3 linked regions of the Drosophila melanogaster genome follow. Changing the gene in region 3 together with the main gene of any one other region gives a genetic interaction. Each region holds a gene or a part of one and is shown on either strand. Other genes may lie near its edges.

Evidence for each region.
Region 1: of Ras85D (region 3) and ksr, changing one suppresses a phenotype caused by changing the other (phenotypic suppression), as found in Drosophila melanogaster (3 studies listed by BioGRID).
Region 2: of Ras85D (region 3) and Taf6, changing one suppresses a phenotype caused by changing the other (phenotypic suppression), as found in Drosophila melanogaster (3 studies listed by BioGRID).

What each region holds. Positions count from the first base shown.
Region 1 is NT_033777.3:5,477,859-5,485,633, forward strand, and holds ksr (kinase suppressor of ras), read right to left. Parts: upstream 6,049-7,775; 5' UTR 5,780-6,048; coding exon 2,879-5,779; 3' UTR 2,132-2,878; coding exon of another isoform or gene 1,988-2,131; 3' UTR 1,925-1,987; coding exon of another isoform or gene 1,775-1,924; 3' UTR 1,715-1,774; coding exon of another isoform or gene 1,529-1,714; 3' UTR 1,464-1,528; coding exon of another isoform or gene 1,260-1,463; 3' UTR 1,185-1,259; coding exon of another isoform or gene 1,028-1,184; 3' UTR 532-1,027; downstream 1-531. Other genes in the region: Hcs (holocarboxylase synthetase), read left to right, coding at 1,028-1,184, 1,260-1,463, 1,529-1,714, 1,775-1,924, 1,988-2,131, 6,470-6,801, 6,872-7,049.
Region 2 is NT_037436.4:19,597,530-19,601,930, reverse strand, and holds Taf6 (TBP-associated factor 6), read right to left. Parts: upstream 2,844-4,401; 5' UTR 2,772-2,843; coding exon 1,887-2,771; intron 1,825-1,886; coding exon 1,655-1,824; intron 1,598-1,654; coding exon 1,142-1,597; intron 1,022-1,141; coding exon 712-1,021; 3' UTR 549-711; downstream 1-548. Other genes in the region: CG9368 (uncharacterized protein), read right to left, coding at 1-158; ash1 (absent, small, or homeotic discs 1), read left to right, coding at 3,695-3,775, 3,838-4,401. UniProt on the Drosophila melanogaster protein: TFIID is a multimeric protein complex that plays a central role in mediating promoter responses to various activators and repressors.
Region 3 is NT_033777.3:9,510,022-9,514,986, forward strand, and holds Ras85D (Ras oncogene at 85D), read right to left. Parts: upstream 3,047-4,965; 5' UTR 2,767-3,046; intron 2,432-2,766; 5' UTR 2,271-2,431; coding exon 2,132-2,270; intron 1,976-2,131; coding exon 1,719-1,975; intron 1,661-1,718; coding exon 1,487-1,660; 3' UTR 540-1,486; downstream 1-539. Other genes in the region: Rlb1, read left to right, coding at 3,342-3,368, 3,426-4,790; mRpL47 (mitochondrial ribosomal protein L47), read right to left, coding at 4,848-4,965. UniProt on the Drosophila melanogaster protein: Ras proteins bind GDP/GTP and possess intrinsic GTPase activity. Plays a role in eye development by regulating cell growth, survival of postmitotic ommatidial cells and differentiation of photoreceptor cells.

The sequences.
Region 1 (7,775 bases), 4.0 Mb from region 3:
ACTGAGTATCAGTGTATTTGAAACCGAAATGTTGCATGTTTTATACACCCGAAAGCCCTATTCAAGTCGATTATTGCACAGCCGTCGGGTAAATTGTAAAAAAGAGGCCAAGTTATAACGCTTTACTTTTTAGACCCTTGCAGAAGGTATATATCTTCCAGTCAGAAGTTTTCAGGGCTTAAAGGGTTAAAAGGCACTTTCTTCATTCTTGATCAGTTTTACCAGCCAAGTCCGTCTGTTCATCCAGTTTTAAGGATTCTAGCCTCTCAGTTTTAAAGCTGTTTGCATGAAAAGACTTCCTCCTGAAATATGTAAGTAAGAAAAGGGAATAATCGGTCCTCTATTTCTTATAGCTTCCATAGGAATAATCGAAAAATAAATGAAATAAAAATGGAATATATAATTCCCGTTTTAATTTGTATTATATTTTTTCTTGACATATACATATGTAATTTCTGCAAGGGTATATGAACTTCGGCCTGCCGAAACCAACCTCCTGTCTTGTTTCATTTATGTATATTATTACTTTTTCTGAATGGGGCTTGAAATGAAATGAATTAATCCTAATTAATCGTTCTTATACTAAACCGATTCTAACCAATTCCAATTCTCATTTTATTTCTCAAATGTTTCATGCTCAAATTGGTCTCGTTTACTCTAAATATGGCTTAATTTCTATTTGATTCGGTGTGCACTGTAATCCATCTATCTAAACTCCGTTTTCAATCCGCCTAACTAACTAACCTATCTATGTTTTCTGTAAGCTCTCTTAACTCTTGTTTTTTATCGATTGAATGTGCCATCCATGTAATTTAATTGTTTAATTGTGTTATAAACATTTGGCATTTCAAACCTTTTCACCATCCTGCTACGTTTACCTTCTAAATCCTTAAATTTCTGCGTGTGCTTCTATATGTGTGTGCTATCACTATTATAATCCATCCTACCAATAACTAAAATAACAACAAACCAAAAACAAACAAAAATCGAAAAAAAAACACAAATCAAACCACGAAACGCTGCTCAGAGCTCTAGTATGTCCAAGGTCCATGGAACTGAAGGATCTGGCCGGTCACAGCCACAATTTGGATGTCCATGTGCTGGGAACCGAGGAAACCTGGAATACGCCCAGCTTGATGTTGGCCAAAAGCCTGCAGAGCGGCGGAAAGGCCGTCTTCTCCCAAGTAAGTGATTGCTCATGTAAATATAACAAACATATATTAAAAAAAAACATTCCTATGAAACAAAAAAAAAAACAGGTGCACTTGGAAATGAATCCCAGCGAATTTGAATCCGATGAGACTAAGTACTCCATTCTAAAGCAAAACGAGCGAACTCGCCTCGAGATATTTGCGGATCTCCTGGGAAAGTACTTGGATGTGCAGGTCCGCGGTGGAGACGGTGTCGACCAGCCGCAGCCTGGAGTTGTCTACAAGCACGCATATTTCCTAGGTCGGCACGAGGTCAGTTCGTCTCTCCATTTGTTTTGGCATCAGAATCCAATATTCTAGCTCTTTTTGTTATTCAGGCCAAGTTTGAGCTTCTGGAGAAGCTACGTCTGCGCTGCAGCGGATCCGACAACGTGATAGCAACGCCGAACCTGACGATGAAGTTCTGTGGCAAGGACGATAAGCCTCCAGTGGCCAACAACAATGTCCTGCCCATACTCATACATTCCTGTCCGGATGACTTCTCCACCGTGGATTACTTCGATGTGAGCGCATTCTAATTCTAGTCTATAGCAGAATTAACCCAAATTCCTCTTATTTTAAAGAATCTTAAGACGGAACACATCGGACGACTGGTCATCTATGCACCGGTGGTCAGCAGCTCCATGCATCTCATAAACAACCTGGAGCTCATCCACGGCCTGGCTGTGCTCCCCGTGCAGCAGACGTCCGGAGTGGGTCGCAGAAATAATCAAGTTAGTACTCTAGAAGCATCCAGATTTAAGTTCTTGTTGAAATCATCGCTTTGTGCTTTCCAGTGGCTTAGTCCGCCGGGCTGTGCCATGTTCTCGCTGCAGCTGCACCTGACCATGGACAGCGCTTTGAGCTCTCGGCTGCCTCTGTTGCAGCACCTTGTTGGAACGGCGATTGTTAATTCGCTCCGCAGTCATGAAGAGTACGGGGTGAGTCAAGACTGTAAAGTTTTACCATTTAGTTGAATCTTAAGTTAAGATTGTTTCGATTATCTCCGCCTGTGGGACGATGGGACGAACCTCAGGATCTGTAAAACTGCCAAGTGCACAAAGTGATTTTTTAGGTTTAATAAGTTTATTTGACATTTTGTTTCGATTTCGCATTTAAAGTCCATTTACTATATACACTTGACCATACATAATTCACAATATATATTTAATTTAACACTAGTCCGTCATATACAATACATTGCTGCTGTATATACATGTATATATATATATATATATATATATATATATATATATATATATATAGTTCTCTTACACATAATTAACAATTTAGAAATTGCTCACCTGATTAACGTTTACATTTATGTTTGCCACAGTGCTTGTTTGTTTGTTTGTATATGTATGTCTATGCCTTCTCTGTTTGCCTCTGCTCTTAAACATTTAAGCGTTTTGTCTTTTTCGAGTTAACATTTGATTTGCCTTTGTTTCGTTTGCTAACAACTGCAACTGGAGTGCTCCCGATACATGCCTACACATATGTATGTAGTTTTTAAAATGGATTGCTATAATTTGGTAGTTACGTTTATGTATTTACAATCTTCGCTCGGCTCGATAGAACTTCGCCTTGGGAGAGAGTTTGTGTAGAGTGGACGAGGGCACAAAGCGAGCTAGCTTAGTTGGTAGATCGAAATTGTACTAGACAGTGACAGTGGCCATGCTGCAGTTCCCTCAGAACACGGACTCGGCGGAACGGGAAAGGTTGACGGGGTGGGAGGGACTGCGCGCCAGACGCTTCTTGGGAAGATGCTCCAGCAGGGAGAGCAGGCGTGCGAACTGCGGCCGGTGCTCCTTCTCGTAGGTCCAGCACAGCATCAGCAAGTCCTTGACATCCCGTCCAGACTGCAGGTTGGCCAGCGACTGCTTCATCCCACGGCCAACCTGCCAGATGATCGATTCCGCCGGCTGATCCTTGAATGTGAACTCGCCGCAGATTAGCTCGTACCAAACGGTTCCGAAAGAGTAGACATCGGAGTATGGGGTGAACTCCAGACACTCTCCACGCGGCTTCTCCGGCTGCAATGCTCGGATTAGCTCCGGCGCCAGGTAGCACAACCAGTTGTGGGGCACTCCTAGGCCCATATCACAGTAGAGCAGCTTGGTGGAGCTGAACAGCCCAAAGTCCGTGATAATCACCTTGCCGTTCTCGATGAAGATGTTCTTGGTGCGCAGATCTTTGTGGATGATCTCCCTTGCGTGCAGGTAGCCCATGCCCTGGGCGATCTGCTGGGCAATGAGGAGAGTCCGGTTCATGGCAAACTTCTCCCGACGCTGGTGAATATACGTATACAAGGTGTTGCCCTTGCACAATGAAGTCACAATGGCCAAATATGGTGGGTTCATGCAGGCTCCCATGAACAGCACCAGGTTCTCGTGTCGAGTGTTCTTGAAGTTGGCTACCTCGCTGCGAAACGTCTCCAGCATGTGTTCGTCTTGCAGATAGTCCTCGTTGAGCAGCTTAACCGCCACATCTCCGTGCCAAAGGGCTCGATGCACGGTGCCGAAGCGTCCCTGCCCTATCCGCTCGAGCAGAAGCAGATCACCATACGGGATGTCCCATTCCTTGAGTGAGATCGAGTTCTGGCGCCATTGTCCCGAGTCTCCGTCTTCCGTTGAATCCACACGAACGGGTGTCCGGTCCGAGTCCGTGCTGGCACTTCCAGACAAGGAGACTGTCTTGTCGCTGTCATTTGACTTGTGGGTATCCGTGTACTCGCTGGTGAACGGCGTCCTCTTATCCACACCGGCTGTGCTCAATTTTCGCGGAAAGAAACTGCAGGTGCTGGTGGTGGTTGTGCTATTGACCAGACTGCCCGTCAAGGTGGCCGCAGTAGAAGCGTTTGAAGTTTGGCTACCGATGAGCGAGCTCATGTGCCCGTTGGAGCTGCTCACCAGACTATCAAGTCCTCCGTTGGCTGTTGCAGGCGCCGTGGGGAATTGCTCTGGCACTGGTTCATTGGAGATGAGCGATACACCACCGCTTCCGCCACTGCTCGTCACCGTCACGTTGGGAAAGTTGAATTGACTCGGCTGGTGCTTGCCAAGCGAAGGCGTAGGTAACAGATTGGCGCTAGAGCTGCTGCCCGCCTGATCCAGCTCGCGCTCCCTTTGCTGGAACAGCGCCGGACTGCTGGGCGTGGAACTAGTGCAGCTGGAACTCGGCGAACTGCTATCGCCGTGCTGCTGATGCAAGGGCTTACCCAGGGTGCTCTTTTTTACCAAAGGGGATCCTTTCGCCGCGCCATGCACATGCGGCAGACTGGCGTATCCTCCCTGCTCCTTTATGTGCCGAAACTCGTCCACATATTCTCGTGGAAGTCCACAGGAGGGCGGTACGTGCGGTGCGCATGACTTGTGGCAGATGTACTTGCAGTCGGTGCACTTCATCCAGCGGTGAAAGACCTGCTTCTGGCACAGGGTACAGGTGGCCATGAAGCCCAGGGCCTTGGTGAAACGATGCTTGATTGCATGACCCATGCCCACGTGACCCACGCCCGGAGAGCATGGCACCATAAGCACGTTCGAGGAACTTCCTCCGGAGCTGGCATTAGTATTTGGGTCCACAAAGATGTCCGAGCTGGTGGAGCTGTGGCTATCGGGGCTGGGATCAGTGGGCAAACGGTTGCGGGCTAATTGCTCCCCGTCCACTTGCACATGACTCTGGCTCAGCAAGGTCTGGTGCTTTCTAGCTGGCGGCGGGGTACCACGACTCCTCTGTGGTGTTCCATTAAGGCTGCTGCTCAGCCCACTGGAAGGCGTGAAGGGCGAATTGGGTGGCGAGGGCGTAAGGGTTAAAGTCAGCTGGGAACCCTGTGTGCTGTTCAGCTCTTCTGTCGCTGAGGGCGATTGGCGGCCACTTTTGAAGTTGGTGGAGTTGGCCAGAGCGGAATTCTTTCCCTTGACACCATGCTGGCGATGATGGGTTCTCGGGGAGGCGGTTGAATTGTTACCCAGTCCAATGTTTCCCACACTGCCGCGATGAATGTGGGTGGGCCTGTCCCAGGAGTCCCAGTGCCACTGCTCTGGATCGTTGTTGCTAGCCGCAGTACCGCTCTCCAGCGACTCCATGCACTTCCTTAAGTTCTGCATGGCCCTGGTCAGGCGTCGCAGTTCCTCCTCCTCTCGCTGGCTGGGGCTGTCAGCCAGGAGTTGACGGATCTCCTCGTCGCTGAGACGCAGGCTTTGCTCTAGAGTGGTCAGGCGAGCAAGGCAGGCGGTAAGAGTCCCCTGGCTAAGGCCCACTACGCGCAGCCATTGCCTCAGTTCGTTGCCCGTTGTGTGGGGCACAAGCCCGTTGGCCGGGATGCGCTCATTTAGCCGCATCTTCGCCAGCAGCAGCTCGGAGAAGTATCGCACCAGCTTCGACTCCAGGCAACGAATCTCCTGCTGCGTCAGCGTGGAGCTGATCGCGCACTGCGTTCGCAGGCCCTCCAGATGGTTGGCCGAGAGATCAATCATGTCCTGAATGATAACCAGGTTGCTGTCTACGGACAGCGAACCGGAGATGGGATCGTTGGCATTGGTGGAGCCCGTGTCTGGAGCCGATGCGGGTGCGTTGTTGTTGCTGCTCATCCTGCTTATTCGCGACGGAGTGGAGCCCGATTGATTTTTTCAGACGCCCCCTCGGGGACTCGACGATTCGATGGGACCAATGGCTGGGACTCCGCCCCGCATTGTGGCCCTCGCCAAGCGACCTTGACGTTCGGTGCTCCGGCTATCGCGCACGCTAACGCCCGCAACTCTAAACGGCTTAGGCAATGCGAAAAAGCAATAATTTGTACAAGTTCCTCGGCTGTTGTTGAAATTTCTCTACACCCAAGTAGCGCATCGAGAGAAGTGTGACCATACCCGGGAGGACTCCTTCTCACTGCACACCAAAATGTACTAAAAGCACTTATCCGAAAAACTTAGGGGCACTCCTCTGTATTTAAAAAAAATAGAACGTTAAGTATTATTATTCTTATGTTGTAATTATATTATGTCTTCGAGTGTATATAGCATATATATTTCAATTCTATTTGAAAAATTAATCCAGAAATTATTTTCACATTTTTATTTTATTAGTCGAAATAAGTCAAATATTTTAATATTTATATTTTATTATTTGGAAATGGAAATTAGGTAGATATTATTTTAATATTTTAATTTTATAACTAAAAATAATTTTTTTAAGTTAATATTTGATGTTCCAATTTATATTTTATGATATGTAATATTACGGAGATAGGCGAGTTTTACTTAATTTATTCATATCACCTTCAGGTGCTGGATATTTCCATTAAGTGGCCGAATGACATTTATGCAAATGGAAATCAGAAAATTGGGGGCCTCGTCATTAATACCACACTTCAGGGATCCCAAGCCATCGTCAATATCGGAAGTGGAATTAATTTGAACAATTCAAGACCAACAGTTTGCATCAATGACTTGATAAGAGAATATAATACCCGTGTCCCGAACAACAAGTTACCTATACTTAAGTACGAGCTACTTATTGCCATGATATTCAATGAAATCGAAAGACTTTTGGGAGAAGTACAAAACGGAGACTTTGATAGTTTTTATGCATTATACTATTCGCTATGGTTACACAGGTAAATTTAAAACATTTTTAAAATACATTTAATTTGCATATTACATTTACTAACATGTTTTTATGTACAGCGGGCAATCTGTTAAGATTTGCCTACAAAAAGATCAGGAAAAAGAGGCCGAAATTGTGGGAATCGATGACTTTGGATTTTTGGAGGTGAAATTACCAACTGGTACTATAGAAATTGTGCAGCCCGATGGAAACAGCTTTGATATGTTGAAGGGATTGATTATACCCAAGTATCAATAGTGAAATGAAGCAGATGTGAAAACTCATATTATTCCCCGAACCCTCTAGTTTAATTGGCCCTTAAGCAACTTGTACTTTTTAGGCAAATTTAGGTCAATTTATAACTACGTAAAAACGTTTATCCTTATAAATATTTACAAGGTGATTCTTCTTAAGTGGCTTTACGAAATAATAATGGATAATTTAATCCACTAAATTAAATACTGCCAAAGAGAATTATATGTTAAAGGAAGTCTCAAAATATTTATAATGACAGGTACATTTGTTTGTTCCCTATAAACCAGTGTTTGGAAATTACTTCGTAAGATAATCGCGTTTGTTACCATTGTTATCGCCATCGATTCCTCTGCATACGGGTGTTTTTGAAATTTGAATTTAATAAATACATATTCGATCATTGCTGACCTTAGACCACTGAGATTAACTGCCGCACAGGTCTTATCTTAAATTTAAGATGGATTTTTTTATTACATAATTTTTTTATTCTAAAATTGTTTATTTTATTATTCTTCTAAAATTTTTTTTTGAACTGAACTTTCATTAGAAAGTTATATTTTTTAAAATTTTTTTGAACTGAACTAAAGAGAGCTTGACAGTGTAGTTTCCTATAAAATTGTCAACACTGGTGATGCGAAGACTTGGTATAATTCCAAGTATGTGAGTTGGTTACACTGTTGCTTTGCTGGAAAAGAAAATTGTGGAATAAAACGGAGTCTGCGGCATTGG
Region 2 (4,401 bases), on a different chromosome or scaffold from region 3:
TCAGCCCGCAGGAGCACATCGTCGAGCGCCTCCCGCAACGCGGCCATGTTCTGGGGATTTTGCTTGAAGGCCTCAATCCGCGCCTCCAGTGACTCCGTTTCGATTCCATCAACGCTGTCCGGAGACGCTGGCTCGGGATCCGCAAATCTGGCATGCATCTTTCCTGGGTTTTTGTGAGAATTCCTTTTTATCCTTTGAAAATGCTGCCAGAAGCGTTTCGAGCTTTGCCTTTGTCCTGCGATGGGTATCTACAAGGAGTGCTGAGCAGAGCTCTTTGTGCGTTCACCCAGCAATGCGCTGGAGAAATCAATAGCAAGCCACTTGGGGGCCCATACCCGCACATGCGTGCTGACTGCGTGGGCAAGCTTTCGATTTGTGGGGTGGGAGAGCAGTCAGTTGATTTCAACAGTTCGTTATTTACAGAACTGTAGCTTAATATTTCTATGGGAAATCCTTAAATAATGTTTTTTTTTTTGCTTGCTAAGAAGAACTAAATCCATTTTACACAAAACGTGTGAAAATAATGATTTAATATTCTTCCTATTTGTGTGGTTACATTTTTTTGGGGTAGGAACCCGCATTTTTTATTTTATTGCATACAATATGACAAAATGTGGACTACGAACTAAGCTGGCTACTCCAGGTGCGAGAGATCGTCCAGCTCGGGCGGTGCGCGCACAATCTCCGTCTCAATGATCAGCGAGTTGGCGTCTAGGATGCTCTGAAAGATTGAACTGTTATACCATCAACTGCTGGCGCTTCGCTACCGGCAATAACACACACATTATCGCTGCTCCGCTGTGCAGCCGCTAGTAGACTGCCGCTCGAGCTTGAGTTCGAATTGGAGGCACTGGCAGCGTTGGAGGCCGCGGAGAGGACCACGCTGTGCGGAGAGCTGCCACGCCGCACCACCTTCGCCTGGCCCTGCTGCGGCGAGTTCTGGGTGACTATCACAAACTTTTGCGCCGGCTGGTTGGCCTGAATGGCTCTTATTTGCGGCAGGGACGAGACTCCGGGACTTCTAAAACAAAAGAATATTTAACCGCTTAGTAATGGGCATAAAAAGACATGTCAACATGGTTTCCATTAGGAATCAAATGCTTGGCTGGAATTTTATTTTATGCTTAAAAGTGTTATTTACCCCTGTCTCTGTGTGGTGGGCATGGACACTCGTCCGATGGTTGTTGCTGTTTGTGCTGCACTCGTGATGGGTGCCGTGTTGATAGTGTTGGATGACAGGGTTACAATGCTTGAGGCGGGCGCATTTCGAACTTTGACTACTGCCTGGCACAGCGACGGCCCCAGGAAGCCAAAGTCGTTCTTGTAGTCCTCCGCTGTATCTGGCGCTGAGCGCATTTGCCTGAGAATCGGGGGACAGCACTTCTGAAGCATGGCGCGGATGTGACCTGCTGCTGTCTTGTCAGTGTTGCTGATGGAGGTGCCGAGCAGGTGAGGTTCAATGCGCTCCGATATGAACTTAAGGCGGGGTATGATGAAAACCTTTATGACTTCGCCCCCCAGCTCCGAGAGACCCGCAATAGAGCCGTAAAGCGAGGACAGGTGGGTCTTGTCGTTCTGCAGGGCCTTGCTGAAGATGCTGAAGGTTGGGAAATGGATGTTAAAAGGTTATTTAATTTAAGTGGATGTGATTTACCGGGTGACACGGGTTTGCAGATTGTTGGTTAGGGTATTGAAGTTCTTGCAGATTTGAGCCATCAGTCGGGAGGCAAAGTCTCGCAGGGCCCAGTGATTGTCCAGCTCGGGGCGCATACACAGCTGTTTGGACACAATGCACGTCATCACCGAGGGTATCAGTTCGTGGAGCTATGCGGAGACAACATCGTTTTTATGAGAAACAAAGAACAATACAATAAGAAATTTCTTACGTATTTCTCCAGAAACAGCGAAGGATTATCCAGAAGCGCACGAACCATGCGCATGAGGTAAATAAGCAACGCCAAGTTGTTCTGAACCACATTGACCTTAACTCCCTCGGCAATGAAGGTGCACATGCGGGGAAGCATTTCGTGCAGGCCAGGATCGGATCCCAGCGACTGCAGCGCTTCCCCGCGCCGCGGCTCATCAGATCCCACGCACGCCTCGGTGATCTCCTTGTAGTACAACTGCTGCTCCACGGACAACTCGTGCGTGGCCAGTTGCTTGACATGAATGGTCTCCACGTTTTTCAGCTTGTGTATCTTGCCGGTGGTGGGTTTGCCTGCCGCATCTTTGTTTAGGCCTTGATCCATCTTAATAACTGGATTGACCGAGTCCAGTAACTGGGAATCCTTCGAGAGCGGAGGGGGGTTTTCGGGCACAGTGGGTTGCACTCCCTCCACAACAAACCAATGGGAGCGCAGGGTGAGATCCAGGGGAATTTTTACAGAGTTGGTGGATGTGATTTCTCCTAGGTCGATTTCCTTGTCCTCGGTGAAGTGCAGCTCCCGTCCTCCGCCAGATGCGAAGCGGAATGGAATGAAGTCCTTGGCTACGAAACCGTACTGCGGCTCCACATTTCGCACCTTAAGGGACATGTCGATGTCCCGCACTGAGAGCTTCTGCCGCTTGGCGTGGTTCATGAACTTGGCCGCATCCTGTACAATCCTCTTCAGCTTGATGGACACATCCTCCGCTAGTTCCTTGGCGGCGTCATCCGACAGGGAGCCCACTCCGATGCTCTCCGCGATCACCTTCATGGACTCCGCCGAGATGCTGGAGCCGTACAGCATGCTGCTGGAGGGGCTGCTCGGTTTCGACGGTTTTCCACTCATTTCCCAGGTTTTTACAAATAAACAAATAATAATCGCCGAGCTGCTCGGCCAGTGTGCACACACCCAAAAGAGAAAATCTAGCTATTCTGGCTTTTTTGTTGTTTCATATCGTCTGCTATAATTAGTTTTATGGTCACCTAAAATTTTGCTATTTGCGAGTTCATGTAAGGAATATATTCCCATAACAAATATTTAGTTACAATAGTAAAAAAAATATAAGAATTCATTTTTAATTCATAAAAAATGTCATATTAATATTACTGGTTTCACATTGTTATACAATAATCGGCTTGTTTTTTTCCAGCTATTTTTGAATAGAATCCACTATTGTTCGCGATAGTTGCCTGCTAAATTCCGCCGCAAGGTCACACTGTCGCGTAGACATCACGTACACCCCAGCTGGGCACACTGAAACGCAGTCTTTTTCTTTATTTATGTTCGTAAATTTTTGGTTGCCTGGCTTTTTGTTGTTGCGCCACATTAACAATAACAATTGATGCGCCCCGCCACCGCCCACTAGTCGCGAAAAAAGTGAATTATCGGTACCGCGGATTAATGTGCCACATGCGAGAAGCGTTGCAACGTTGCGCCGTCGTCGGGCGTCGAACAAAGCAGTTTTTGGGAAAGTGAAAACGGCGCCATTTTAGAAGCAGGCAAGCCACGGCCTAAGGCTCAAGAAAAGTGCAAATGCAATGTGTGCAGCAATAGATTGTCATTTCGGCACAAACGAAACCGACTACTGAGGTCTACTACTAGCCCAGAAAACAATCAAGCGTAAGTGTGCTGTAGGTAATGGTTTTTTTTTTGGACGATGTCACCGCGGTTTGACCTACTTTAAAGGCGATTAAGAGTGCCACCAAATCGAATTAAAAACACTTGGCTAACAAAAGCGAACCTTTGCAGCTCCCCAGCGACTCCAAAATATGAGCTGTAGCCAAAATGAGACGGCAGCAGCAAAGGTTCTGGAAACGCAACGCGCACAAGAATCCGGCAGTGAAAATGAGGCAAGTCTTTAAAATGGCACCCTTTATGCAATGCTATATGTAAAGTGTGTTGTTCTCCTCAGGAAACCGATTCCATTACGGATCAATCGAGCCAGTCGAAGTCGATCAAGTCAGCCACCCAGTTTAGCGTGCAGCGTTCGGACACCGATGGACTGCGAATGAGAATCTCGGCCATCCGCCCCACGTTAGGAGTCGTAGCAACCAAGAAACCCCCAAAGTCCAGAAAAATGTCTACCCAGGACACCGAGTCCGGCTGCTCGGAGGCCAAAAATAGAGCGGTCAGCAAGAAAGTGAAGGTCAAGCGCAAGAAGCTGGCAAGTTCCAGTGGGATTAGTAAATCGGACAAAGTGTCTAAGTCTAAGAAGTCACAGATCTCGGCATTTTCCTCGGACTCAGAGGACGATCTGCCCTTGAAGGTGCATCAGCAGAGAGCTCCGCGAGTGCTGCTAAGTGCTATCATCCAGGCGGCACAGTCGGCCAGCAAACCCACCCTCGATATCGGAATCTCGTCCAGCGACAACGAGTTACCTAACCTGGTGCAGGCGGCTATCAAGCGAGTGGAGAGCGATACGGAGGACACAACTGTGGAAGGAAGTTTCCGCAAAGCGGCCAAGGACAAGAACCTA
Region 3 (4,965 bases):
AGGGATTCGCAATGCGTTTTGTAGTTCTTGCAATATTCGTAGTAGTACACACCCGGAGCGGCGTCCGCGAAAACAAAATGGCGACCGCGTCAATCGACTTTTTCGCCAAATGTTCTTTTCTATGCTAGCGTTATGGCTTACCTTTTGATGTTGGCTGTGCTCTTAATACTGGTAATATTTCTATTTTGCTGCTTTCGGCGTAGTAAATTTTATACAATGAACAAACGCTTGTGACAAACTACAGTTTCCGAGATCAATAGAAAACCGTACAAAAGTCTATGTTAGAGTTGACAGTGATACGATGACAGCACATTCATCGATGGTTTGATATTTGGACGTGTCTCAGATTTCTATCGACTAGACATCGCCGATATTCGAAAATGCTCTTCGAATTATCGAAATGTAGGCATACTGCAATTTACGCGCGCAACGCAAAAATTCAAATAATAGAATATTTGGCTCAACAAGACAGGAGACTTTAGATGGAAAAATAGAATCCACAAAAGCAAAACTATGGAATAACTAAAACCACTTTTCATAAATAGTACACACAATCGATTTATTTCGTTTCTTTTTGTATGGCAAAAATTAATACAAAAAATTAAATATTAAATGTATGTATGTATGTATAAAAAGCTTAAAGCAAACTATATAATGTAAATTTAATTGGCTGTTTGTTTTCTCTCCGATTGATCTGTCAGTATGGTAAGTAGAAAGAAAGGCAAATCTCAAGAACTCATACGGATTATAATTTCATCATCGTAGCACCACAGATATGTGTTTAACCGAACATAAATCTAGTTTGGGGCTAGCGAATTTACTCGTTTGTGCGAAAGTTGCTGTGAGCTTATCGGCTTTTGCTTGTTTGTTCTCTAATGATGAATACTAATGGAATTCTGCTCGTGCGTGTGTGCGAAAAAAGATTACATTTATGTATGACTGTCGGGTTGAAACCAATAGATAACAGGGCTGTAAAAATACACAATATTTGTTTACATCGCGTTTCGGTTTTAAGCACGGAGTATCTGTTGAAGTACAAACAACATAGAATCAAGTTAAGTGCTGGTTGAAAACAAACGGATATAGCAGCTGAACCAAGGCAGTTACAACAGTATTCATAGTTTTTATGTAGAGGTACATATTCATTTTCATTTTCGATTTGCTTCGTTCGTTTTTGTTTGCTTGTTATTGTTAATACTCTTAAAAGGGCGCCTCGCAGCCTTTCAAACGACACAAAACACACACATTCACAAAATCATTTCGACGTACATAAAACTCTAGTTACTTAAATTAATTACAATTTCTCTTCTTTTATCTGACAATTGCACCGACCAACACGCTCCCACATGTGTGTGTTTTTCGCATTGTGTGTCCAAAATGGACAAACCATCGAGCCCAGGACGATCGGCGATTCGCCGACGCACATACAGACAAACAGGCGACATTTGAAGAAATAAAAAGTGAATAATAACCAATGCGTGGCCGTTTAGAGCATTTTACATTTAAATCTACGATTCGGCTTGTTCATTTTGCGGCCCCTCCGCCCCTTGTTGTCCTTGTCCTTGCGGATTTCGCGCACCAGTGTGTAAAATGCATCGTCCACGCCCATGCGCGTCTTGGCGGATGTCTCAATGTATGGAATGCCGTACTGTTTGGCCACCTGAGAACAACCATAATTAACGGAATGTTCGCTCGGAACTCTGAAGGCCGGTACTCACCTCTCTTGCCTGCTCGTTGTTAACGTTCCACGAGGCCAGATCACATTTGTTGCCCACCAGCACCATGGGCACCTCTTCGGCATCCTTTACGCGCTTGATCTGCTCACGGTAGGTGCCGATATCCTCGAAGGACTTCGCACTGTTGACGGCAAAGACCAGCAGGAATCCCTCGCCAGTCCGCATATACTGATCCCGCATGGCCGAGTACTCCTCTTGGCCGGCGGTGTCCAGGATGTCCAGCAGGCAGGTCTCTCCATCTGCAGGGGAATATAAAATGCATTTGAATATCGCAACTTCTTAAGGTCTCTTCTAGTATAAACGGGAAACCAAACCAGCGAAAGGGTGCAGAAATCTCTAGAGTATTTGGACCTGTGCAGCCCTAGCTTTGCCAGATCTAAGTACATATAACTCACCGATAACCACTTGCTTTCGGTAAGAGTCCTCGATTGTGGGGTCGTACTCGTCCACGAAATGGTTCTGGATTAGCTGGATGGTGAGCGCGGACTTGCCCACGCCTCCGGCTCCAACGACGACCAGTTTGTATTCCGTCATTTGGCTGTGGCGTCCGTTTTCGATTTGCCGTAGTCAAATGTCACAGTAACAGTCTCTTTCTCGCGATCGATGCTTACTCTCTTGTGAAGCGCCCGCAGATGCAGTCTCTCTCTCCGTACGCTTGTTGCGTGTGTTTGTGTGGGTGACTGTGCGTGTATGGGCTGCAAGTGGAGTAAATTATTAATTAAGATTGATTAAAATAAATTAAACGCATAATTAGGCAGGAATTAATGCACGTCACTGAGTCACTGTGACTAGGCGCTTACTCGCACAAACACACACGCACCACTGCATGCACACAGCCAGACGGGCAACACAAAAAAAAATGGGAAAAAGAGATCAATGACTCAAACTAAAATTAAAACCCATTCGCTCAATGCAAATTAGTTAGTCTCCCCCATAGCCGAGTTGTTAACTAGGTGAATTTGCTAATTCGGCGGCGTTGTTTTTAGCCCTTTTCTTTATTATTTTTCTTTTGCCTGCCGGGGCTGCGGACCTTCTTTGTTGCTGCCTCTTCAGCTAGCTCCTCCTTGTTTTTCCGCTCCGCTCCTCTCTATCAATACTCTGCCTCTCTCTTCTCGCGCGCGGCGCAGTTGCTGGGCACGTTTCACGTCACTTTCGCGGCTAACGGTGCGACAGGCGGTACTCCTCGATGGCACCAATTTAATTGCCGTGCGGTAATTGCAATTAACAGCGCAGGAAAACAATAAATCCGTATGTGAAATGAAGATGAAATCTAGGCTGTACGTAGCTGTGAAGATACTAGAGCTGGCACCAAGCCGATGGCACTATCGATAGCGATGGCTGCATTCTGGCCGGCACCATCGATGGACTTGCAATAGCGATTGCTATATGAAAACTAATCTAAAGAGGTGGATGCACTTCAGTCGACTCTCTATAATTTGCTTAAACTAATAAATGATTTGATCAATACAGCTTTCTGTAAAAACTGGCAGACGCTTTCTGCTTTTAATAATTGTTAATTTAAGTTCAACGGGCTGGCATCACCGTTTCTTAGCACGGACTCAAGCCTGAGTCTATTATTTCAACCACCACTGTAACGAAAACAGCATGGACAGATTGAAATTCAATAATTTGGTAAATAAACGATTTTATTTAAAATTATAGAGTTTTAATTAAAAAGAACTTTTACAGGTGATATCCAACAAGAAGGTCATTCAAAAGGCACGCGCCCAGACCATCGCCAAAATCGTACAAAAGCTGCGAAAGACAAAAGAGGCTCTGGCCAAAAATCCAGACAGTGAAAAGGAAAAGATTCGTTTACGCAAGAACACAGAATGCCTGGCCCAGTTGAAGGCTCTAAAATATATGGATATGGTACGCCAGTCGCTCCTGCAGGAGGGCACAAATCCCAATGCGGTGATTGCTAACGAGCGCTCCACGCCGGATGAACTGGGCATTGCCATGCTGCGGCTAAACAAATTGATGCACGGACTGGTGGACAAGTTTGTGGAAACCTTGAAGCTGAGCACCACCGATAAGGAGGCCAAGTGGCGTGAGGAGATCCTAGAGACGAGCAAGCGAAGGGCCAAAATAGAACGCACTGAGGAGCGGAAGAGGAAGCGCAAGGAGCTGAAGGAGCAGAAGGCCCAAACCAAAAACCGACTGGAGTGGTTAGAGCAGAACAAAGTGGTGGATGCAGATGTTAATGGAGCAACTGCGGAAACGCCCACTCTTCAAGTCAGCAAAGTAAATGATCAGGAAATACCACAGTCTTTTGCAAAAACTGAAAATTCTCCAGTTCTCAAAGTCAAAAAGGAAAAGACACCTAAAACACCAGCCAAAAAAGAAAGAAACCTTCAGAAAAAACAAGCTTTTGATGAGCAGATCAACCCGGAGATAACTAAGCTCAGTTCCAAAAAGCAGAATTTAAATACAATCAAGGAGAATAATGCAGAGCCACAACTAGAAGGCAGACCGAAAGAATCTAAGCCAAAACCCTTCGAGAAAAAACCAGCCAGAGAGCAGAAGCCTAAGCCACGATTAGAAAGGCAGCCAAGTATCGATGAAGAAGAACCACAACTTGACAATAATCGTCCCACACATGTCGTTGATCCCTTCTTCATTACGGAATCAGGCCAGCCCTACTTGTCCAGCGCCGTGGTTCTTTCCGGGGACAATGACAGCGAAGCTGATGAGGAACAGGCACCGCCGCCAGTCAAAAGGTTCCGCAATGAGGATCGACGGTCGAACACATATCGGGAGAAACCGGAAAGACAGCCAGAGTTCAAAGCGAGAAAGCCAACTGATGATCGTCATCCCTCCTGGCTGGCTAAGCAACAGCAGAAACCAATCATTGGTGATTTTAGAGGCAAGAAGATTACATTCGGCGACGACGGCCAGGCGGCGGAAATTATTGCTCCAAGTATCAATCAATTAACCGCTACTGCTGCTCCTTTGCCCACCGATGGCATGCACCCGTCTTGGGTGGCCAAACAGAAGTTTAAGCCGAAAATTGCCGCGTTTCAGGGCACAAAGATTAAGTTTGACGAAGATTAAAGATGATGTCAATGGTATTTTGTTGTTTTAATAACTAAATAACTGCAGCTTTGCTGCTCACACGCCAACTTTGGGCACATAGTGACCACGAATCTTGTCCTCGTTGCGCAGCTTGTCCACGTTGACATCGGGGAACTGGCGACGCAGCACATCCAGATCGAAATTGGGGTTGCGA